Pelodiscus sinensis: one gene and its partners. The protein of the gene in region 3 purifies or fractionates together with the protein of the main gene of each other region. This does not show direct contact. Links are inferred from orthologs where the notes say so. Each region holds a gene or a part of one and is shown on either strand. Other genes may lie near its edges. The genes, in order: RANGAP1, FYTTD1 and NXF1.

Region 1 (7,899 bases), on a different chromosome or scaffold from region 3:
ATCAGGAATCCAACACAATCTTGAAAACACTCATTTTTAAAATAAGTGAAAACATTTTCTTTACTAAACATGGAGATAACATTTTAATGCATACAAGTTAAGCACGTTAATATTGTACTATTTCAAGAAAACTTGGACCACAAGGGCAGATTGAATTAATGTCTTATTTGGTCATTTACTGTGACATACAGGCAGTCCCCAAGTTACGCGGATCCGACTTATGTCGGATCCGCAGATACAAACAGGGATTTTCTCGCCCCGGAGGACTGGAGCGGCGGGACGCCTGGTCCCGCCGCCCGCCTCCTCCGGGGCGAGAAAAGCTGCTCCCCATCTCCCTGGTCTGCTGCAGGAGCCAGCAGACCAGGGAGACGGGGAGCAAAGCGGCGCAGGACCCGGGGCCAGACCCGCAGCGCTTCCAGCTGATCTGGAAGCGGCCGCGGGTCCGGCCCCGGGTCCTCCGCCGCTTTGCTCAGCGTCTCCCTGGTCTGCAGCCGAGGAGCAGCTGCGCTACTGGACCAACCCAGCAGCACCCGAGCTGCTCTGCCCCAGGCGTCCCCAAGTTAGCCGCTGCTGAAACTGACCAGCGGCTGACTACAGGAAGCCCGAGGCAGAGTTGCTCTGCCCCGGGCTTCCTGGAATCAGCTGCTGATCAGTTGCAGCAGCAGCTGACTTGGGGACCCTGGGGTTCTTAAGTTGAATCTGTATGTAAGTCAGAACTGGTGTCCAGATTCAGCGGCTGAATCTGGATGCCAGTTCCGACTTACATACAGATTCAACTTAAGAACAAACCTACAGTCCCTATCTTGTACGTAACCCGGGGACTGCCTGTATTACATATTTGTTAATACTGGCCTTAAAACACTGAGGAACAGGTGCCTCCACACAATCTTGTTCCAGTGCTCTACATTTGCTATAAAAACAAGTCATTGCTGATTTACATACCGGCTGCGTCTAGACTGGCAAGTTTTTCTGCAAAAGCAGAAAACTTGCCAGCTGTCTACACTGGCCGCTTGAATTTCTGCAAGAACACCGACGATCTCATGTAAGATTGTCAGTGTTCTTGTGGAAATACTATGCTGCTCCCATTTGGGCAAAAGCCCTCTTGCGTAAATGCTTTTGACAGCAACTATAGCACCAGATCCTTGTTCTCCTATTTCCAAAGCACTCTATTTGGAAGAGGAAGTACTAGATTTGGGCAGTGGGTCTGTTTCCAAACTAGTGCTTAATAACAATCTCTATGTGGAAGAAAAGAGCGCCATCTGTTGGAAGTACAGGAGCTTCAGGGGGTAGCCGAGTTTGTCTGTTACAGAAAAAAAACAGCAAGCAAATGGTCTGGGAGCACTCTATAGACTAACAAAACATGTAGATGGTATCATGAGCTTCTGTGGGCACAGCCCACTTCTTCAGATGACCAGAGTTATGATTAGAGGATAAGGAAACTCAAAATAAATAGGAGAAGGGAAGGGGGGGGGGGGAAAGATGTTCTGTTGCCCACCCTCCTACCTCTGTGCATAAAGTATAGGGAGAAAGGGTGCTAAACCTGAGTAGATAAAGATCAATGTCTGTGGATAGATAAGGCAGGAAGGATACCATTCAGAAAGTAGTTAGCACCTTCATTGATAAAGTATAGTTACTGATAACCACAAGTACGTGAACAAAATGACATGTGCTTTGTCAGTGGTGACCTCTGGCAAGCTATACATCTTACAAAGAAACCTGTACTTTTAATCTTTTCTGAGTCCAGCTCACTCTGTCCAATGTGTGTTAAAGCCATGTAATCTTTTTGCTTGGTCCAGCAATAAAAGAGGTAGCATCACACCCACTCAGGGCATGAGATGGGAGCAGAGTTTCCAAAAGTGGCCCCATATTGTAGTTGCTCACACACAAATGGCATGACTAGGAAAGTACTTTGGTTCCTTTGATGTGCTAGTTTTCATCCAAAGTTGTCTATATGCCATTTTGCTATAGCGAGCCAGCAAAAGATTAAGCACATCAGAGCTCCTGACTTTAGCAACCACACTGATGGCATTCACCATGGAGACATTGTAAAATAATTCTTATGTCTGTTTCTTCCTGATGAGTACACAGCTGGTGGGGGTCAACTATTGCTGTCCAGCACCAGACTTCAGCTTCAGCCTGAAAACCACAAGTCAGAACAAAGATTTTATCTGGTGGTGCTTGTGTAATTAGTCGCTCAGATAAAAATATTGCAAGGTTTTCCTTACAGTTTCTCCCAATAGGGATAATTTTGGGTGGGCAATGGACACCAGCTGTCAGTATTGTTTTTGTGCTTGTTCTCAGACTGCCATTTCTCTATCCTAATGCCAAAAGGACAAGCATTAAATCATCTTTCAAAATTCGTTGCAAATTCACAGCCCAGATGGCTTCATACACTGTGATTAGTCACTGAAGAATATATTTCTGCCTCTCCTTCATGGTTGAGGCCTTTCCTTTGACCTCTTTCTCTGCCTCAAATATCATGGAAAAAGTTGCAGCATTATTCTTTGGCACTGGATCATGAACATATACACATCCAGGCTCCCCTTCTTGTGTCATAATCAGAGCTCCCTGTAAGCTATGTGCTTATGTGATTGCTCAGGAGAGATTCAAATGCTGCTCAGCTGAACAGCAGATCCACAGAGCTAGGCTACATCTACACTGCAGGCTTCTTGCGCAAGAACTGTTTTGCGCAAGAGTGTCCATTTTTGCACCAAAAATTAAAAATCCTGTGCCAAAAAATAAAAATTCGACATACAATATTTTAAAATTCTCCAAATTGTATTTGTTAAAATAACACCATATAATTATGCCAGTTTCAATTATTTGGTAATTTATTTCAAAATATCTGTCAGCAAATATGTCTCTAATAATATGGACAAAAAAAAGGATTTTTTCAAACAAATAGATTCCTGAAATTCCTAGGCAAATTAATAAGGAACTTCAAGTAATTCATTTAAGCTACAATATAGAAAGGTATTTCCCACACCCCTCAGAAGCAATCTAAAGGCTTTGCGGAATCATAAGTAGCATAGGAGGTGAGGGAGATGGAAGGAGCCTGGGAGTGAACTTGGAGGGTTATTGGTGTGGATGGAAGAAGTATAAAACTGTTTTTTTGGGGGAAAGTATGTTAGGGAGAATCCCACATGCAGATGCTGACTGACCCCATCCCATTCAATCAGGCACATCTGCCCCATTCCTCCCCCAGTTCCCATGCATCCCTACAGTCCCATCACCCCCATCCTCATCTGTCCTGGCAGTCCTCTACCTCCAGTCACCATGTAACCCTACAGTCCCTTGCTAATCAACTCCTAACTCAATGTTGTCACCCCATAAGCACCTATGCCCTTGCCCCAGTCTGTGATTTCTCTCTCCCCCCATATTCTGTGTTTCCTAATCTGTCTCCATGAGCAGGATGGTGTAATGAATGTAGCAGGGCACGCCCACTAGTGCAGAATTCCTCCAGGAGTACACCATTCAGTTTTGCCAGATGGACTCAATCCTGTCAATGGCTTTTCTGTACTTGACATCTTGTAGTTTCTTTCTTTTACACAATCCTTGTTCACCTATTTCATGCACATATTATTTACTTCAAATACTTCACAAATAACAGAGACTGTAGAAAACCAGTAGATATCTCTTGAGCCTTACTACTGGTTCCATATCTACTTACAACCATAATCAATAAGTATCATAACACATCACCTCATCTAACCACTCTTTCTTGATGTCTTTGTAAAAAAAATGCCATTAGTATAATTTCTGTGTTAATTCTATTTTAACAACAAACCATTGCATGCTATAAAACAAATATAAAGTGTGCACAGAAGTGAGAAAATGCTTTCACATATTACAAGAAAAATAATCTGATTTACTTATAACATTGTATGAACAAATACTATCAAAAGTTGAGCATCAGGGTGTAGTAAGTCTTAAAACCAGTCTGACTTCTCATTTCTGTTCTTTATAGACTGATAAGAGAGTATGTCATGTTGAAGTTGCCATGTCAGTCCCACGATATTAGAGAGATAAGGTAAGTGAGGTAATAATGTCTTTTACTAGACCAACTCCAGTTGGTGAGAGAAATAAGCTTTTGAGCTACATACACAGAGCTCTTCTTCAGATCTGAGGAAGTGGGTCTGGCCCACGAAAGCTCATCATCTAATAAACCATCTTGTTAGTCTTTAAAGTGCTACATAGTCCTGTATTTTGTTTCAGCTACACCAGACTAACACGGCTACATTTCTATCACTGTGTTCACTTGAACACTTCTCTCTTTTAACAACAGACATTGGTCTGTTAGTGAGTCACACTCATCTCTCTAATGACTTACATCAAAGCATTTAATTGCATCCCAACACGTCCATGCACATGCTGTGTGTGTACCAAATGTTTCTGGTAAACTTTGACAGTCGCATGGAGCTGCAGGACTTGCAAGTTCAAAGCTTGGCAACCATCCCAGCTGTGGAACCGGCAGGTTCAAACGAGAATGGAAATAGCTGCTACCCACTCTGAACGAAAACCGCAACAAAACTCCTAGTGACGCACAGCCAGGTACCCACCAGGCCTCTGACCTCCGATTCTGCCTCGCCTGCCCGCCCTCTCCCTTTTAATAGCCGGCGCTGCGCGAGGCATCCTGGGAACGATAGTCCACGCCGCGTTCTTCTCTTGTGGAACTACAATTCCCGGCCTGCTCCACGGCACAGCGAGCCCCCAGCGCAATGCATCACGGGGCTCGTAGTCTTCTCTGCCGCGCATCAAACCTCACCAGGGTCTCCAAGGAAACCACAATTCCCAGCATGCCGCACGGGGAAGAACTGTCGCCTACGCCACCGCGACGGGCGGGCGAGAGGCCTCGCGAGCCAATCAGAGCCGGGAAAACAAAACTGCCGGGTTTGAAATCCTCCGCCTCCCCCTGCGCCATCGGCCTCGGCGTGACAGGCTGGAGCCGGGCGCGTCCGACCCACACCCGACGGCAGCGCGCGCAGGTGAGCGGGCCCAGGGGCCGCGCGGCTTGTTTACTGTAGGGTCGCCAGGAAGTTGGCGGGGTCGGGGAGCGGGATCCTGACGCTTCTCCAGCCCGGTGTGCGCGGGGCCCCTCCTGGCGCAGCGCCCCGGCGGGGTTTCCCAGCGCCTGTGCGGGGGCGTCCCCTCCTGGCTGCCCCCCGACTCGGGGGCGGGGTGGGGGGTGCCCCGGGCGTCTGGTCCTGCGCCCCCTGCCCGCCGCGCCACGCGCTCCGGGAGCCGAGTCCCGCCCGGTTGCTGCGTGGCCCGGCCCAAGCCGCGCTGCTCTTGTGGCTGCCGCTTCCCCTGGGCTCGGCCGCCGGGCCGGGCGGGTGAGTGACTCTGTGCTGCGCAGCCAGGCTTGTTGCATCACTGAGGCTCGCTGGGGCAGCCTCACCTGGCGCGTCGCGCCCTGAGTACATCGCCAGGGAGCCGTAACCGCAGAGAGCAGCCGCGGAAGTCGGGGGGAGGGCGGTCGGAGTGTGTCACCGAGCAAGCAGCTGGGCAAACAGCTTCCTGTGGTGCTGTAGCCTTGTGGGTCCCAGGATATTAGAGAGACGGAGGAGTGTGTGTGTGTGGTAATAGCTATTATCAGATCATCTATTAGTGTGGCTATCTCTGCACTACAGATTGCTTCAGTATAACTTATGTCATTCTGGGGTGAGTGTGATGGGTTGGGCAACCCTCCACCTTGGGTCTGTCGCCTGAGGTGCTGAGACATCACAAAGCCTGTTTTCCCTTACAGCTGTGAGCCTATGTTGTTGAGCCTGTCTCTTCAGCCTGTTGCAGCACAGGGACAGAGCCACCCCCCCCCCCCCCCCAAATCTGCAGACTCAGGAAGCAGTCCAATGTGAGACCATTCCCAGCACTAGGGATGTAAGTGACTAGTCAGCTACCCGATAAGCATATGCTTATTGGGAAGTAGAGTAGTGATGTGAACCTGTAGTTGCTGTAATGTAGACATATCCTGAGAGAGAAAAACTTCTGAGATCACTTAGGCCACTCATTAGTCAAAACTGAGCTAAGAATTAGGGATGTAGAGGGTTAATCAATTACCTGGCAAGCATTGCCCTACCGGTATATTTACCGGGGTAACCAGTTGACTGGCCAGAGCAGCCCCTGCCCACGGCGCACCAGGCTGGGGCCTGGCTAGGCTGAAGCAGCCTCATGATGCAGTGTAGCAGGCCATCCGAGGGGCTGCTCAAGTGTCCCCCTCTTTCTCCAACCCACCCCCCCCGCCTGCAACATATAGTCAACCAGTTAACATATAGTTTAATTGGTTAACATTTTAAATGGGATTTTACAGCCCTACTAAGAATCCACAAAAGCCTCGTGTGCAATTACCAAATGAAGAAGAATTATCTAATATAGTATGAAACATATTCAAGCAAGATCAGAAGACTGAGTCAATCAAAGTAGGGGTGTAATAGTACAGGCAGTCCCCGGGTTACGCGGCTCCGACTTATGTCGGATCTGTACTTACGAACGGGGCTTTTCTCGCCCCGGAGGGCGCGGGCGGCGGGACTGCCCAGACGCGCCTCGGTCCCACTGCCTGCGTCTCCCTGGTCTGCTGGGGGGGGGATGCAGCTAGTGCGCCCTCCCCCCCCCCCCAGCAGAGCAGGCTTTTCTTGCGGACGCCTGTGGTAGAGCAGCTGGGGCCCTGCTGGTTGGTCCCGCAGCGCCGCTCCTCGGCGCTACTGGACCAATCCAGCAGCACCCCAGCTGCTCTGCCCCAGGCGTCCCCAAGTCAGCCGCTGCTGAAACTGACCAGCAGCGGCTGACTACAGGAAGCCAGAGGCAGAGTTGCTTTGCCCTGGGCTTCCTGGAATCAGCTGCTGATCAGTTTCAGCAGCAGCTGACTTGGGGACACCTGGGGTAGAGCAGCTGGGGTGCTGCCGGTTTGGTCCCCGCAGCGCCGAGGTGCGGCGCTGCAGGGACCTACCCGGCAGCGCCCCAGTTGCTCTGTCCGAGGCATCCAGATTCAGCTGCTGTTGAAACTGATCAGTGGCTGATTCCAGGAAGCCCGGGGCAGAGAAACTGTGCCTCAGGCTTCCTGTAGTCAGCTGCTGGTCAGTTTCAGCAGTGGCTGAATCTGGACGCCAGTTCCGACTTATGTACAAATTCAACTTAAGAACAAACCTACATCCCTATCTTGTTCGTAACCTGGGGACTGCCTGTATGGTCGATTAACCAATAAGCAAAAGCTTATAGGTTAATGCTATAGACTACATGCGTTTCCCTCCCCCCACACTTACCAGTACATGTTTTAGCAGACTTACCAGCAGCTCAGCTCAGTTCTGGCTCACACCGGGTCCAGTACCTGCTCCTGCTGCGGTTCTTTATTTGAAGTGTATTAGGAGCCAGGCAAGCAAGCAGCCTGGTTCAGTTCCATCTTGTGCTGAGTCCAGGAACTCAGACCCACCTTAGACAGGGGTTGCTGCCACCCCACGCTGCTGCCTCTTTATTAGAGGCAGCAGCACTGGACAACAGGCAGCTGGACTTCAAGGTGAACTGGTTTTTAAACTGGCTCCCCTCATGGACCAGCTCCTGCCTGACACCCTGCACTGCTGCCTCTGATACAGTGACTGCCAGCCCCACCCCTGGGGACTATAGAATAATCAACTAACCAATAAGAATTCATGAGGTTACTCAACTATTCAATTAACCAATATTTAACATCCCTAAATCCAAGAGAATCTTAGACTATTCCACTGCCTGACGTGGTAAATTTTGCACAGTCCATCAGGAAAAAAGGTGGAAAATCGCCACGTTGCTTGTTACAGTTACAGCTAGACTGGATAAGTACCAGAGATGTGATAATGTAAATATGTAAAAGCCTGGGTTTATCAGTAAAACTTCACGATTACACATAACCCTCCCCGGGTGCTGCTTCTGTAT
Region 2 (7,648 bases), on a different chromosome or scaffold from region 3:
GACTAGCTCCCAGGCTAGACCTGCCCTAACAGACACATGGGTTTTGGGTCTAATTACAACAATCTATAAGGCTATGTCTACACTAGCAACTGAATGACAAAACTTTTGTCTTTGAGAGATGTTAAATGACATCCCCCCCAGACAAGTTTTGCCCATAAGTGCTCTCCTGCTAACAAAACTAATGCCACTTTTTCAGGACGGAAGTATTTAGCTGGCAAAAGAGCCAACACAAACAGCAGCTACACTGCCCAACTTTTAGCGATACGACTGTCGATATAGTTGTGTTGCTAAAAGTTAAGTAGTGTAAACTTACCTACCACATTTAAAGTGCAAAGCCACAATGGGATTAGCTCCTGGGGCCAGCACAAGCCAAGACTGAACAGTCCTGGGACCACTACAGCTTTGCTTCCTGTCCCCCATCCCCACACCACAGAGATAGTGCTGGGACCCCTGCAGACAGAGGCTACTGCCAGAACAGCCTCCCTGAACCTCTCCCCTGCCCGATAGAGCCAGTATGGGGGAAAGTGGCACTACAGAGACAGTGCTGGGGAAAACTAGCTTTTAAGCTGACTCCTCCCAGCACCCACTCCTTCCCCTTGACTAATTGACTACCCACTTACATCCCTAGTAGGGGCCTAATCATAATACACAAACAAAAATCAACTCTGTCCTCCCACATTCCTATCTTTAAGGGAGCACTGAAACAGTATGTCACAAGTTTTGATCAAATGTAGGACTGTGTTTAGCCACTTGCCAAAGACCACTTGTCATACAATATAAATGGGCAAATTGTAGGCACCCTCATATTTTGAGTTGATCCGCAAAGAAAAATACAACAGCTTGTTCTCTTTTTTGCATCTTCATATGCATAAAGGCAACAAAGTTGTTATTCCCTCTTAAAAAAACCACAACTCTTTTACATTAAGATTCAGGTCTTGTTCTCCCCACACTTTTGGGAAACTTGATGGTAAGATAATGAATGGGATTAAGACCTCTCAAATTCAAGGTAAAATGGAATTAAAGAGAGATTTGTTTTAGGCAGTGTTTAAATGCAGCTGTTTTGGTCAACCCCCACTTAATCCTATAATTTCCATAAGGTGAAAAAAAAGCTCTCTTGGCTAAAGCCTGGCCATTTCCATGGTGAATACACCTGCGTTTCTGAGGTCTTGCCAATGGGTCAAGCAGCAAAAACAGGCAAGGGTGCGATTGCTAAAGTGAGAGATCCAAGCAGCAGCTTTTCTACTTAGGCGACGAGGAGTCCTGTGGCACCTTATAGACTAACTGAAGTGTAGGAGCATAAGCTTTCGTGGGCAAAGACCCACTTCGTCAGATGCATTTAGTGGAAGTTTCCAGAGGCAGGAATAAATATGCAGGCCAGGATCAGGCTGGAGATGATGAGGTGGATCCAATCAAGGAGGATGAGGCCCACTTCTAGCAGCTGATCTGGAGGTGTGAATTCCAAGAGAGCAGAAGCTGCTTTTGTAGTTAGCGAGCCATTCACAGTCTTTGTTTAATCCAGAGTTGATTATGTCAAACTTAAAGATGAACTGTAGCTCAGCAGTTTCTCTTTGAAGTCTGGTCCTGAAGTTTTTTTGCTGCAGGATGGCTACTTTTAGATCTGCAATTGTGTGTCCAGGAAGATTGAAGTGTTCCCCTACAGGTTTTTGTATGTTGCCATTCCTAATATCAGATTTGTGTCCATTGATTCTTTTACGTAGGGACTGTCCTGTTTGGCCGATGTATATAGCAGTGGAGCATTGTTGGCACATGATGGCATATATTACGTTGGTGGATGTGCAGGAGAATGTACCAGTGACAGTATGGCTGATCTGGTTAGGTCCTGTGATGGTGTTGCTGGTGTATATGTGTGGGCAGAGTTGGCACCGAGGTTTGTTGCAAGGATTGGTTCCTGAGTTCGGGTTATTATGGTGCGTTGTGTAGTTGCTGGTGAGAATATGCTTCAGGTTGGCGGGTTGTCTGTGGGCAAGGACTTCAAAGAGGAACTGCTGAGCTACAGTTCATCTTTAAGTTTGACACAATCAACTCTGGATTAAACAAAGACTGTGAATGGCTCGCTAACTACAAAAGCAGCTTCTGCTCTCTTGGAATTCACACCTCCAGATCAGCTGCTAGAAGTGGGCCTCATCCTCCTTGATTGGATCATCTCCAGCCTGAGCCTGGCCTGCATATTTATTCCTGCCTCTGGAAATTTCCACTACATGCATCTGACGAAGCGGGTCTTTGCCCACGAAAGCTTATGCTCCTACACTTCAGTCAGTCTATAAGGTGCCACAGGACTCCTCGTCGCTTTTGCGGATTCAGACTAACACGGCTACCCCTCTGCTACTTTTCTACTTAGGAGAACAATGCCTGGCCTTCCCACAGTAACAAAAAACGGGAACAGAAGCGTGAGTCACTGCGCCAGGCCTCGTCCCCTCCCTGAGTAGTCTCCTTTGCAGGGCAGGCCGGGCCAGACTTCCCTCCCCTTGCAGGGCAGGCCTCGAGCAGACTCCCCCCTCTCAGCACGGTGGGGCTCAGCCCGCCCGCCTCCCCCCTGCGGCAGTGGGGCCTGCATCTCCCCAGCCTGAGGCTAGGTGGGCTGCACGTGCCAGGCCCTGAGACACCGGCCCCCCCGCCGCCCCTCGGGCAGGGGACGTGTCCCCGGAAGTGCTCTCAGGAGCCGCCCCCTGCCATGCGGCCCCCCGCGCCCCTACACTGAACCCTAGGCCCAGCCTCCCCCCGCGGTCTCCAGAAGTGGTCGCGCCCACCCCCCTCGCGCGAGACCCACAGGTGGTTCGGTCCCAACGACTCCCCACTCGCCCCCCCACCCCGTAGCTCGGCCCACGGGCGGCGTCGCCGGGAGGGGCCGCAGCCACCCGGCCCCCACTCACCCAGCGACATGTCGATCTTCTCCAGGCTCTCGCTGCTGCCGCTCCGGGCACCGGAGGTGGCCGCCCGGACTCGGAACCCATTCATGGCCGCCCCCCCCCCTACGCGACTGGCCCAACGGCCGCGCACTCTGCACATGCGCAGATAGCCGCGCCAAGCGACCCAGAAGCCCGTGCCGTGACTGGCCTTTGCGCGAGTAGAATGGGCTAGGCGCGTGCGCACTCGGTAATGCGCGCCGCCTCAGGCGGGGCTGCACATGCGTGGAAGAGGGAGAGGCTCAGTGAGGCGCTCTAGCTTCCTCCCGCGAGGCAACCTGTGGTGTCACTCTTGGGGTGCCCTCTACAGGCTAGGAGGAGCGTATCCAGCCAGAGCTGGCGAGTGACTTCCTCATGCGTCCTTGTGCAAACAGCCTCCTATTCGACTAGCGACCTGTGAAAATGCCCCAGTGAATGACTAAATATCACCAATGCAGGCACACACCTTTGCATGCAACTAAAGATCTTGCTGCAATGCCGCTCGTCCTATACGGGATTAAATTGTTCAAATACCATGTCCCATTGCCCTCCACCTCCAACTAAATACTTGGGAGAGCCGTGATTTCATCCATGCAAATAGTCTCGCCACCAATGCAGATTGCAACTTTTCCACACCATCCTGTTTTGCACGATTCTTGTCCATGCTCTTCCATGAATCTTCTATAAAGGATCCACCTAATGCTGGAGGCCTTCTTCCTGTTATCTTGATATCATTGACCCCGCTTCTTGTGTGCAAATTTTCAATAGTAACATGCTGTAAACCTATTTACACCCACGATATGTCTTTCCTTCAGGTAGGAATAAGAGATCCTCCGGAAAAGGGCTTTATTCCGGAGGATCGTGCCAGTCTAGATGCTTTTTTCCTGCTTTTCCCCAAGCCGGAAAAAAAGCGGCGGACATGTTTATTTAAATCCCGCGGGGGATATTTAACTCCCCCGCGGATTTCCCTATTCCAAAGTCTGAAATTAGCATGGCTATTTCGGAATAGGGGCCAGTCTAGACGTAGCCCTTGTGTGGCCAATTAGGTATCTTAACACACAGCAAAATACCCATCATAAATAACCCAGTGCACTACTATATATACCTGACTGGTTATTTATATTCCTGACTGGTTCTATAGAATTACCAAGCCAAGTACTAATAGGGTTGCCAGGTGTCTGGTATTGATCTGGTCAGCTTGGTATTTGTGCCTTCAGTCCGGTAAAAAAAATTCAGTGGCCCGCAAATTATAGGGGCTGCGACTGCATTTAGGCCCTAGCTCCTCACCCCCATCCCCTCCCTTTTTTTTTTTTTTTTGCTCAACAGAATTTTTCCCGATTTTTTTGGGAGGGGGATTCCGTATTTTTTGTGAAACTATCTGGCAACCCTAACTACTAATGTTAATATTATCATCAAAATATTATATAGACCTGATTTCTGCATTGATATGGTGCTGGAACGGAGCATTGGTTGGTAGCAACATTCACCTGCTCTGAGACACAGATTGTTGGCTAAACCCATGACAAATCAATTAAGTATCAAAGGTGTCAGAAGCTGTTTGTCCAGGTGGCAGGTGAATATCACACAAATCACAGACAGGCTGCACAATAGCCATTCATGGCTCTTATTATCCAAACCAGCAGGTCACAACTGGACATATTCAAAAGAAATGTGAACAAAGGCTCCGATCTTAACAGATATTAACTTCATCCTCTCAATGCCCCCAAATGGACAAGGTCTTTTAGGGGTCATTGAGGTTAATGAAGGAAACATCAGGTCTTTGACTTATATGTAGATTTCATGAGTGTGCAAAATGTCTAGCTAATGATAGATAAGAGGAACTGCCCAGGCCTGTTGCTATCATTGTGTAGAACTAATCCTTAACCTTATAACAGATTTAGCTCTATCCCAAACTGTATTTTCTCTCCCACCCCCATCGTCCATCTTTAGCATGGACTCTGGAAATGCCACTGACAATAGTAATCTTTGCTCTTTTAGGATGACAGTTTCATTTGGAAGAACAAGGAGAAGTCCTGTGGCAGTTTATAGACTAACAGATTTATTGGAGCATAAGCTTTCATGGGCTAGCAGATTGACTTCGTCAGATGCAAGAGTTTTATTTGAGGATCTGTAGCAATCTAGTTTGTAGTTTTTGATCTTTTAAATCCAGTAATTTGTATATGGTTTAGGTTTTGATCTAGGTTAGGGTCTTGACACTTAGTGTCTGCTGAAGTTTTTGCTGTTGCTACAGCCTGGGAAGATACGGGGAAGGACGGAGTGGAATGTGCTTTAGCTGCATTTAGTCATGTAGCAATTGGAAGTGGAGAGAAAAAATACTGTTTTGGTAGGAGCACCGGGAGTTGAATGCTCTGAATACCTCGTTACTAGAGTTTTTGAATTTGAAATAAAAATCCGGTCCAAATATCCTCCCGTACCCGAATGGCACAAATTACGTTTCCTGTGCAAGTGTCCCCGTTGGCTGACAATTACATAACTTTGGGCAACTGTTTTGACTGCAGTCCTCGTGCAAACACCCGCCCCCGGCTAATAGCCCCTCGTGCACTGCCAGCTCGATTCCGTGGCAGTGCCTGGGGACCGGCCGCCCGCGCTCCCGCAGGACTCACGCCGCAGTGCATTGTGGGGATTGTAGTTTCGTCGCGCGGCGCTGCGTGCGAGGGGCGGGCTCGCCGAGTGCGGTGCGTGCTGGGAGCTGCGGGACCAGCCGGCGCGGCTCGCAGGGGGCTGGGCCCGGCCGCGCGGGGAGCAGGAGGCGAGCCCCGGCCGGCATGGAGATCGGGCGCTGCGCGGAGCAGGAGGCGAGCAGGTGGGAGCGCGCTGCGGGGGGCGGCCAGGCATGGGGGAAAGGGGAGAGGGGGGGCATGGGGGGCAGCGGGAGAGGGGGGCATGGGGGGCAGCGGGCTTGGGGGGAAAGGGGAGAGTGGGGGCATGGGGGGAAGCGGGAGAGGGGGGGCATGGGGGGCAGCGGGAGAGGGGGGGCATGGGGAGAGTGGGGGCATGGGGGGAAAGGGGAGAGTGGGGGCATGGGGGGCAGCGGGAGAGTGGGGGTATGGGGGCAGCGGGCTTGGGGGGAAAGGGGAGAGTGGGGGCATGGGGGGCAGTGGGCTTGGGGGTGGCGGGGAGCTGGGGGAAGGGGGAGAGTGGGGATATGGGGGGCAGTGGGCTTGGGGGGCAGCAGGAGAGTGGGGACATGGGGGGCAGTGGGCTTGGGGGTGGCGGGGAGCTGGGGGAAGGGGGAGAGTGGGGATATGGGGGGCAGTGGGCTTGGGGGGCAGCAGGAGAGTGGGGACATGGGGGGCAGTGGGCTTGGGGGTGGCGGGGAGCTGGGGGAAGGGGGAGAGTGGGGATATGGGGGCAGTGGGCTTGGGGGTGGCAGGGGAGCTGGGCCATAGGGGCAGTAGGTTGAGGGGCATGGGGGAGCTGGGACATGGGGGAGTGAGGGCATAGGGGTCAGTGGGATGGGGAAAGGTGGGGGAGCTGGGATATAGGGGCAGTGAGTTTGGGGGTGGTAGGGGAGCTGGGTCAGCGGGGGAGCTGGGACATGGGGGCAGTGCGTCTGGGGGTGATAGGTGATAGCATGCAGGGGAAACATGATTGGGCTGGCAGTGGGGGAGCTGGGGCACAGCAGGGACAGCAGCTGGGGGGGGTGCCAGCAGGGTGAATGGGCATGGTGGAAGTAGTGGGATGGGTGGTGCTGCCAGGGGAGCTTGTTTACAGTTGGGGGCACAGGTTGGGGGTGTGCATGGTGGTATTGGCACGGAGCAAGGATCAGTCGTTGGGCAGAGCAAGTTGTGTATGATTGTGGCTGTAACAGAGCCGTGGCTGTAACAGAGCCATGGCATGTGGCTGTGTAGGAGTGTGTGTAGAGAGCGATGCAGCACTGAGCCCGCTCCAGGCATGCCAGGAGCAGTCGGAGGTAAAGAAGTCTGGACTGAGCTGTCTGCAGGTGTGAGTTGAATACCAGATGCTCCTTAGGTATCTAGCAGATGGAGCGTCCAAAGACAGCAGCTGCCAAATCTCTTCTCTTGTTTTACGAGCTGTCCTCAGATGAGAAACCACCCTGTTCAGACACTGGAAACAAGGGGCATCATCAGAACAGGGTGTCATGTTTGGATTACATCTTGTTCTGTCCCCGGCAACTGGTTGCATTGCTTAAAAAGGTTGCCTGTGTTTAAAATAAATCCATAACCTGAATGCTTGTGGTTGCTAAGGTCTTTCGTGTTCAGGTGCAAGTTTGACTTGGAGTCTGCGGCGCTGTGGTGCCATACGCTGGCAGTTAAACACAAATTCATTTGAACTAAAATAATGTACACTTTGAATAGACTAAATGATGATTGATCAGCTGAGTACACAAAGCCTTCTGTGTTATTTATTTTGATAATAGTGCGTGGGATCACTTGATGATTCCCCGTTCTATTTGTTCTCTGACTATGGGGCACCTGGCATTGGCCGATGTCAGAAGCAGGATGCTGGTCTTGATGGACTTTTGATCTGAGCGAGAGTGGCCGTTCTGATCTTATAAATTCCATTTGGTCTACTCAGTCCCCACATTTTTGGTTTTCATGGTACCATTGAGACTTGCATTGGAAACACAGAACTGCATTATAGAGGCTGACCTATGCTTCAGTGGATGTGTAAGGGGCAGTTGAGGTTGTTGGCATCTGGGGGAGGTAGTTTGCGATAAGCCCGTTAGTTGGACTGTTCTGCTAATATTATCAGCAGTAAAA
Region 3 (7,548 bases):
ACACAGCAGGAATAAATGGTCAGTTTTCAGAATGGAGAGAGGTCCTGCAGGGATCTGTACTGAGACCAATCCTATTCAACATACCCATAAATGATCTGGAGAAAGGAGTAAACAGTGAGGTGACAAAATGTGCAGATGATACCAAACTGCTCAAGATAGTGAAGTCCAAAGCAGATTGTGAAGAGATTCAAAAAGACCTCACAAAACTGTGACTGGGCAACAAAAAAAAAATTAAAAATTAATGGAGATTGCCTATCTCCTAGAACTGGAAGGGACCTTGAAAGGTCATCAAGTCCAGTCCCCTGCCTTCACAGCAGGACCAAGTACCATCCTGACAAATTTTTGCCCCAAATCCCTAAATGGCCTCTACAAGGATTGAATTTACAACTCTGGGTTTAGCAGGCCAATGCTCAAACCACTGAGCTATCCCTCCCCCAAATGAATTGGCAAAATGGCAAATGAATTTTAATCTTGGTAATGCCTATTGGAAAAATAATCCCAAATTATATGTACAAAATGATGGTAACTAAATTAGCTATTTCCACTCGAGAGAGAGATCTTGGAGTCACTGTGGCTCATTCTCTGAAAACATCACTCAATATGCAGCATCAGTCACAAAAGCAAACAATGTTAGGAATCGTTAAAAAAGGGATAGAGAATGAGCCAGATAATATCTACCGCTCTGCTCTGCACTGATTAGGCCTCAGTTGGAGTATTGTGTCTAATTCAGGGCACCACATTTTAAGAAAGATGTGGAGAAATTGGAGAGTGTATAAAGAAGAGCAACAAAAATGCTTAAAGGTCTAGAGAACATGAGTCATGAGGGAAGACTGAAAGAACTGGGTCTTAGTTTGGAAAAGAGAAGATTGAGAGGGGATATGTTAGCACAGCTGAGGCCAACCTGAGTCCGGCCTTGCTGCCCAGGTCAGCACAGGGAGCCAGGAGAGGACTGTTTTTTGGGGTGGCTTTCAAGTCATGGGTGGGTGGGTGTTTTGTGAGCCACATCCAGCAGGGCTGGACTGAGGCATGGGCGAGCTGGGCAGCTGCCCGGGGCGTCAACTGATGAGGGGCACCTGATGGCAGCTGTAAGGGGCGCGCAGCATCACTTACAGCTGCCATCAGGCGCCGCGTGCCCGGCTCCCGCAGCACTGGCCCTGCAGAGCCGGCCAGCAGTGCCCTTCCCCCCACGGCCGCGGGGCCCTGCACGGCCCAGCACGCGTGCCAGCAACGCTGGCTGGGCCGGGCTGGGCAGCACATGTGCCCCGGGGGCAGGCCTGCGCACCTTGGGGGGGTGGGGCCGTGCGCCTGGGCCCAGGGCACCAAAAGGGCTCAGGCTGGCCCTGCTGGGCAGGGGAGCTCTCCAGAGCAGCCATGAAAGCTGCAGAAATAAAGATGGTGGAAGGCAGCAGGAGCCTGCTGTGGCCAAGAAACCTCAAAATGCATTTAAATGCAGTTTCTTAAAGGGGCAGAGCCTTATTTAGACTTTTTTTGTCTTGTTTTGCTCGACAGCTTTGCTCCGGTTCTTTGTGCTGGATCCACTGCTATCTTGCCTCTTTGCCCAGAATGAGTTGGCCACCCCTGTGTTAGCAATTTTCAAGTACCTACAAGGGTGTAATGAGTAGGGAGAGACATTTTTCTCCTTGACCTCTGATGATAGGACAAGAAGCAATGGGCTTAAATTGCAACAAGAGAGGTTTAGGATGGACATTGGGGTGCATCTACACTGCACCGTTATTTCGAGATAACTAGAGTTATTTCGAAATAACAATGTGTCTACACAGCCATTCCATTATTTTGAAATAACAGACACCTTATTCCGAAATCTGAAAACCTCATCCTATGAGGAATAATGGCTATTCTGAAATAGCTATTTTGAAATAAGACATGTGTAGATGCTTACATGCTCCACTGCTGCTATTTTGAAATAGCCCCTCACCAGGGCCATTCTAGGTTATTCTTCCCCAGTGCCTCTTGCAGCTCTAAATCGAGATAGCACGTCTACATTAGGGAAGCCGGCCTTGGACTCATTTTGAGGCTTCCCTGCAGTGTAAACTTGCTATTTCGAAACTATTGCTTATTTCAAAACAAAGTGTGCAGTGTAGACGTACCTTAGAAAAAACTTCCTTTCAGGATGGTTAAACACTGGAATAAATTGCCTAGGGAGGTTATGGAATCTCTATCATTGGAGACATTCAAGAGCAGGTTAGATAGACATCTATCGGAAATGATTCTTAAATCAGGGCTACTCAACACGTGAGCCACTTGCAGCACATTCCCCATTTGAGGCCTGCGATGTAGTTTGGGTTTACGCAGAGCTCAACATTGACCCGTAAGTGGGATGCTTTGAACATGGCCTCCACTGGGAACATGCTCCACGATGGCGAGGCATCTCAGGCAGGGTGAGCATCGAAGCATGCAAGCAGATGGGCTGGCTGGAACTGACTGGTACAGGGTGTTGGCATTTCTAGCCCCCAGGAAGAGGTGCTGGGAGCATTGGGGCATTGTGGGAAGTGCTGGCTGCTTAACCTTGTCGGCAGAGCCTGAGAAGTGCAGACTGGCTCACACTGACCATGTTTGGGTCCAGCACCATGGCTTAAGGCTTAATCTTTGTATTCATGCCTATCAGTGTGAAATAAGCTATTTGCATATCTATTTGCATGTATATGCAACCACACTTAAGTTGCAGCTCTCGGCATGTGCTGTGAGTATCAATGTGGCCCCCGGGGCTTCCAAAGTTGAGTAGCCCTGATCTAGATGATATTTGATCCTTCTGGGAGTACAGGAGACTGTACTTGATGACCTCTCAAGGTCCCTTCCTGTTCTAGTATTCTATGAATCCATGAGGCTACCACATCTGTACACCCACATTTTGAATACTGTGTGCAGATGTGGTAGCCTCATCTTAAAAAAGATACCTTGACATTAGAAAAAGTTCAAAAAAAGGGCAACAAAAATTATTAGTTGTTTGGAATGGCTGCCATATGAAGAGAGATTAAAAAGACTGGGCCTTTTCATCTTAGAAAAGAGAAGACTAAGCAAGGGGGATACAATAGAGGTGTATAAAATCATGACTTGTGTGGAGAAAGTAAATAAGGAAAAGTTACCTACTTTTCCCCATAACTCAAGAACTAGGGGTCACCAATTGAAATTAATAGGTAGCAGGTTTAAAACAAAAGGAAGCATTTCTTCACACAGCACAGAGTCATCCTTTGGAACGCCTTGCCAGAGGATGTTGTGAAGACAAGTACTTTAACGGGTTCAAAAAAGAACTAGATAAATTCATGGAAAATAGGTTCATCAATGGCTATTAGCTAGACTGGGTAGGAAAGGTGTCCCTAGTCTCTGTCAGAGGCTAGGGCGGGGTGACAGGGGAGGGATCACTTGATGACTACTTATTCTGTTCATTCTGTCTGGGGCACCTGGCATTGGCCACTGTTGGAAGACAGGATTCTGGGCTAGGTGGACCATTGATCTAACCCAGTATGGCTGCTCTTGTGTTCTTAAAAAAATCATGAATTTCCTTCCATAAAAATCACCAGATTTCTATTTTATAAAATCATTTTTGGGCTCTGATAATGATTTTCATCTTTTCTCTCCAAACATGGGGGCTAGAAACCTTAGGGTAATGTTAAAATGAAACCTGTGGTTTCTACTTGATCTCCTGCCTCCAGGGACTGAGGGTGAAATGGCAAGTGGAGAAAGGGTTGACTTTGTACTTGCTCATCCTGGGAGCACGTATCTTAATTTTGGCACACAGCACTGGAGATAGGCTGCTTCTGCCACCCCTCACACCTTTCTACACCTCCTTTGCCCCTGAAGCTGGATTTGACTGCTAGAATAGCATCCCTCTGATATACATCAGCCCCAGCACAAGAAGAGCACAGGGCAAGCAGGATCTTCTGCCACAGTTGAGGCCCCCTGGGAGCGTGTGTGTCTTGCAGTGCAAGGAGGGGAAGGAATAATAATAACACTCCTGGCTGCTGAAACTGGGTGCCTGCACTGGGGTTAATCCCGGGGACTGAGGCAGATGGTGGCTGCTGCAACCACCAAATGTAGACCAGGATCCCCAGTGAAACTTGAACCCAGGACCTTAGGGATGGGGGAAGGAAGAGGAGCAAAGGCAGATAATGAGATAGAAGGGGTCGCTCTGTCACATTCTTTGTTCAGATGCAACTTGAACGCAGATTCCCCTGCGGGGGGGGAGGGTCCTGGCGGTCGCTGCAGGACAGATTCGAACCCGCGGCCTAAGAAGAACTCCGTCCCTGGGAACCCATCCTTCCAGCAGCTACCGCCCTGCAATGCAAGGGGGCGCTTGGCTAGTATGCGCAGCCCAGCTTTCTCAACCGCGTTGAGAGGTCGGGCTTTTCTGAGCATGCGTAATAGCTCCGCCTCCTCGGAAGCAAATAAGGGGAGGCGTAACTCGGCGCACGCGTATCTTCTCAACGGAAAGTGTCGGACGCCCTGTACTCATGAGCTGCTGAACTACGCATGCGCAATGCCTTCGGTTGTCCCACCCACCGCATGCGCACCTTCCGGGAGCTGTTTACGCATGCGCTGGGGCAGCGGAGCCGAGCGGTGGAATCGGTTGCCTGGTTCCCCCCGCTCGGCTAAGTAGGAGATTTTCCTTCCCCTCCCCCGCCCAGGAGCGGCGCGCGAAGCCCCCCCTCGATGGCAGAGGAAGGGAAAGGGGGCTACAGCGGTGAGGGGGCTGGTGACGCGGGTCGGGGAGGGCTGTGGCTGAGGCCTGTGGACACTCGTGGGGGTGGTGTCTGTGGGGGCGGAGCCATGGGGTCCGGCGGGGAGGGGGTCTGAGGGCGGGGTGGGGAGGAGGCTGGGGTGGGTTCTGGGGGGTCTGTGGAGTCTCGGGGGGGGTGCTGCATGGGGCTAGTCTGTTGGGATCTGGCTTCCCTATTTCTGGGAGCCTCCCCGGTCCCCCCCCCGTTTCCCAGCCCAGGGGCTCTGGGGGGATGGGTGCAGTCGAAGGGCTGGGGGGAGGGGCCCTGTGGTGGCAATAGGCAGATCAGTAGGATTTCCTCATCTCTACTGATGCAGGGCCCAAGAGGGTCCAGGGGTTCCTGTAGGTGGTTTGCCATGTGTTGAGCATTCAAGGAGGAAAGTTCCTGGATGGTGTCTGATGCCCCTTCTGCTCCTCTGAACAGAACATGACGACCGTGTGGGTGGTGGGGGCTTCTCTGGGAGAAGGAGAAAAGGCCGGGGCCCGTTCCGAGGCAAGATGTACAGTGAAGTGAACCACCGTTCTTGGAACCGAGGTGTAGCAGGTCATAGTCCTTCTGGTCAGGTGGAGGAGAGTGATGGAGATGTTCCCATGAGTGACGCCCATGACAGCCTTCGAACTAGATAGTGAGTAAGAAGTGCTGTTGGCATTGTGTGTGGTGGAGTGCCTCGGGGTGTTGGGATGCCAGTTTTAGTCAGGTCCCAAGGGCGGGGGGGAGCTGGTTGGTGGCGGGAGGGAAGGAATGGGATATGGGGCTTTTCCCTCCAGGTGGCATTAGCAGCATTTTAGCCCTTGATTGGGTACTAGGGAAAGCTATGTTGTTCCTGTGTTGGGGATAAGTGGGGCCTGTGTGTCTGGGGACTGCTGTAGACATTTCATCCCAATGCAGCGAGGACCACAGGGTTCAAGCAGGTGTTTCTGGATTCATTAGCTTTCAAAGTATCCTCCCCATCCTTTTAATGTTAACAGCTTGTGTCCCTCTGCTTCCCAGTGCTCCCTATGGGCCACGGCTGAACAGGCGAGGTGATGATTGGCACAACCGGGGCCGGGGAGGTGCCACCAACATCCATGTCACAGTGAAACAAGAGCCCACTTCCCAGGACCGGGGTGCCAGTGCTATTCGCAACAGTAACCGGAGGAGGTGGTACAAGGTCACAGTGAGTGCCAGAGGGTGAGGGAGGGAGCAGGGAATGTGGCCAAATCCCTACCCCACAGCCTGTTAACCTGGTGCAGTAAGATCAGGGTCTAAAGTATAAGCCACAGGCCTATTATAAGGCCTGAGGCTTGACCTACAATAATCAAGATTTTGCTAATATAAATAAAGCAAAGTTAATCTGTGAGCAAAAGGCAGGTCCAAGCCGTAAAACACTAATTGATATTAGGCACAGGCTGGAAGCACATTTCAGAGGGATAGTAACAGGACATCTTGTTAAAAATCTTGGTACCAACACACTCCCCACAGATAACAGGGACATTCTGACCCAGGTTCAATGAAGGGTCTAAATTGACAGCATGATGGCTAGAGATGTTTTTGATCGAGCCACCAGATGCAAGGTAATGGGTGGTACCTAGGTAATGACAGCGGGTGTCAACCAGATACATCAGTAGTGGTGGGTAACTTGTTTGTACCTGTGTATAAAGATGTGTCTTGGTGGGGCTGTCTCTGTCCTGCCTAGGAGGCAGTGGGACCTCCCATTAATTGAACTCTGAGTTCATTGTGAGGGTGTACACATGTGTAGTGGTTTAATAAAGTCTATGGATAATTATTATTGTATTTTGTTTGACAATAAACCTGGCCTGGTGTCTTTGATCCTTATTGGATTTTGTGGTCTTTGGGAGCTCTCTTGGAGTCTGCTGTCCTGGCTACCTGTGCAGAGTAGGGATGTGAAAGGTTAACTGGTAGGCATCACCATTAACAGGTGATGCTTACCAGTTCTAGTTAACTAGTGGGGGCTGGAGCCCTGTCTGTGGCAGGTCTGGGCACATCGCAGGCATGGGGCAGCTCTGGCCGTGGCAAGGGCCTGGGTGTGTGTGTGGGCTGAAGTGCCCCTCACCTTAATTGATGAACTAGTTAAACTTCACATTTTAAATCCATAGTGCAGAGTCAGTGCAGCATACAGCGGGGAGCATATGCTTGCACCGAATGATTATCATCATTGAATGTAATAGAACCGGGGCAGGGAACCTCTTTTGGGTCAGGAGCTACTGACCCACAGTAAAATCAGTCGGGGGCAGCACACAAGTGAGAAGCAAAAAAACCCAACCATCCCAAAACCAAATCTCACTGATGTGGCCCCTGATTGAGGAGGAGAAAAAGACACTTCCCATATTCCCCTCGCACACCAGAGCCTTGTGGGGCCCAGGCTAGTAGATTTGTGCACTTTGGCCTCATGGGGAGGCAGCAGGGGGCTGGAGCGCCAGCATAGGCTCTGGATCCAGGCAAGCTGGGTGCCACATCCAGCCCCTGTGTCTTAGGTTCTCCACCCCTGGAGTAGAATAACTATCAGGACACCCCACCTCACCTTTGCATGGACACTCTGACTTAATTTGTGAAGGGGGCACAATGTCCAGTTGGTTGCCAGGTATCTGGCCAGCAGGCAGCTCTCTGGCTGAGAGGAGAGATGGACCCTGTTGCCCATTGGTTGATGCACCCATGGGACTGTTCCCAGAGACCTCCTTTGCTCCCAGTCCTATAGTTTGCTGCAAGCTTACATGCCACTTACAAGTGCCTTTTTTTCCTAGATTCCCTATGGAAAGAAGTATGAAAAGTCATGGCTTCTGAGCTCTCTCCAGAACATGTCCGCTGTCCCCTT

What was found.
Region 1: the proteins of NXF1 (region 3) and RANGAP1 purify together in Homo sapiens (co-immunoprecipitation; 3 studies listed by BioGRID and IntAct, with this or other methods). This does not show direct contact. The link is inferred for Pelodiscus sinensis from reciprocal best matches to the Homo sapiens genes NXF1 and RANGAP1.
Region 2: the proteins of NXF1 (region 3) and FYTTD1 purify together in Homo sapiens (affinity purification with western blotting; 3 studies listed by BioGRID and IntAct, with this or other methods). This does not show direct contact. The link is inferred for Pelodiscus sinensis from reciprocal best matches to the Homo sapiens genes NXF1 and FYTTD1.

Annotation. Positions count from the first base shown.
Region 1 is NC_134711.1:89,278,193-89,286,091, forward strand, and holds the start of RANGAP1 (ran GTPase-activating protein 1), read left to right. Parts: upstream 1-4,849; 5' UTR 4,850-4,985; intron 4,986-5,639; exon of another isoform or gene 5,640-5,661; intron 5,662-5,746; exon of another isoform or gene 5,747-5,877; intron 5,878-7,899. UniProt on the Homo sapiens protein: GTPase activator for RAN. Converts cytoplasmic GTP-bound RAN to GDP-bound RAN, which is essential for RAN-mediated nuclear import and export. Mediates dissociation of cargo from nuclear export complexes containing XPO1, RAN and RANBP2 after nuclear export.
Region 2 is NC_134720.1:50,951,856-50,959,503, forward strand, and holds the start of FYTTD1 (UAP56-interacting factor), read right to left. Parts: upstream 3,096-7,648; 5' UTR 3,028-3,095; coding exon 2,892-3,027; intron 1-2,891. Other genes in the region: RUBCN (run domain Beclin-1-interacting and cysteine-rich domain-containing protein), read left to right, coding at 5,690-5,727. UniProt on the Homo sapiens protein: Required for mRNA export from the nucleus to the cytoplasm. Acts as an adapter that uses the DDX39B/UAP56-NFX1 pathway to ensure efficient mRNA export and delivering to the nuclear pore.
Region 3 is NC_134721.1:36,439,892-36,447,439, reverse strand, and holds the start of NXF1 (nuclear RNA export factor 1), read left to right. Parts: upstream 1-4,524; 5' UTR 4,525-4,668; coding exon 4,669-4,699; intron 4,700-5,159; coding exon 5,160-5,361; intron 5,362-5,726; coding exon 5,727-5,892; intron 5,893-7,477; coding exon 7,478-7,548.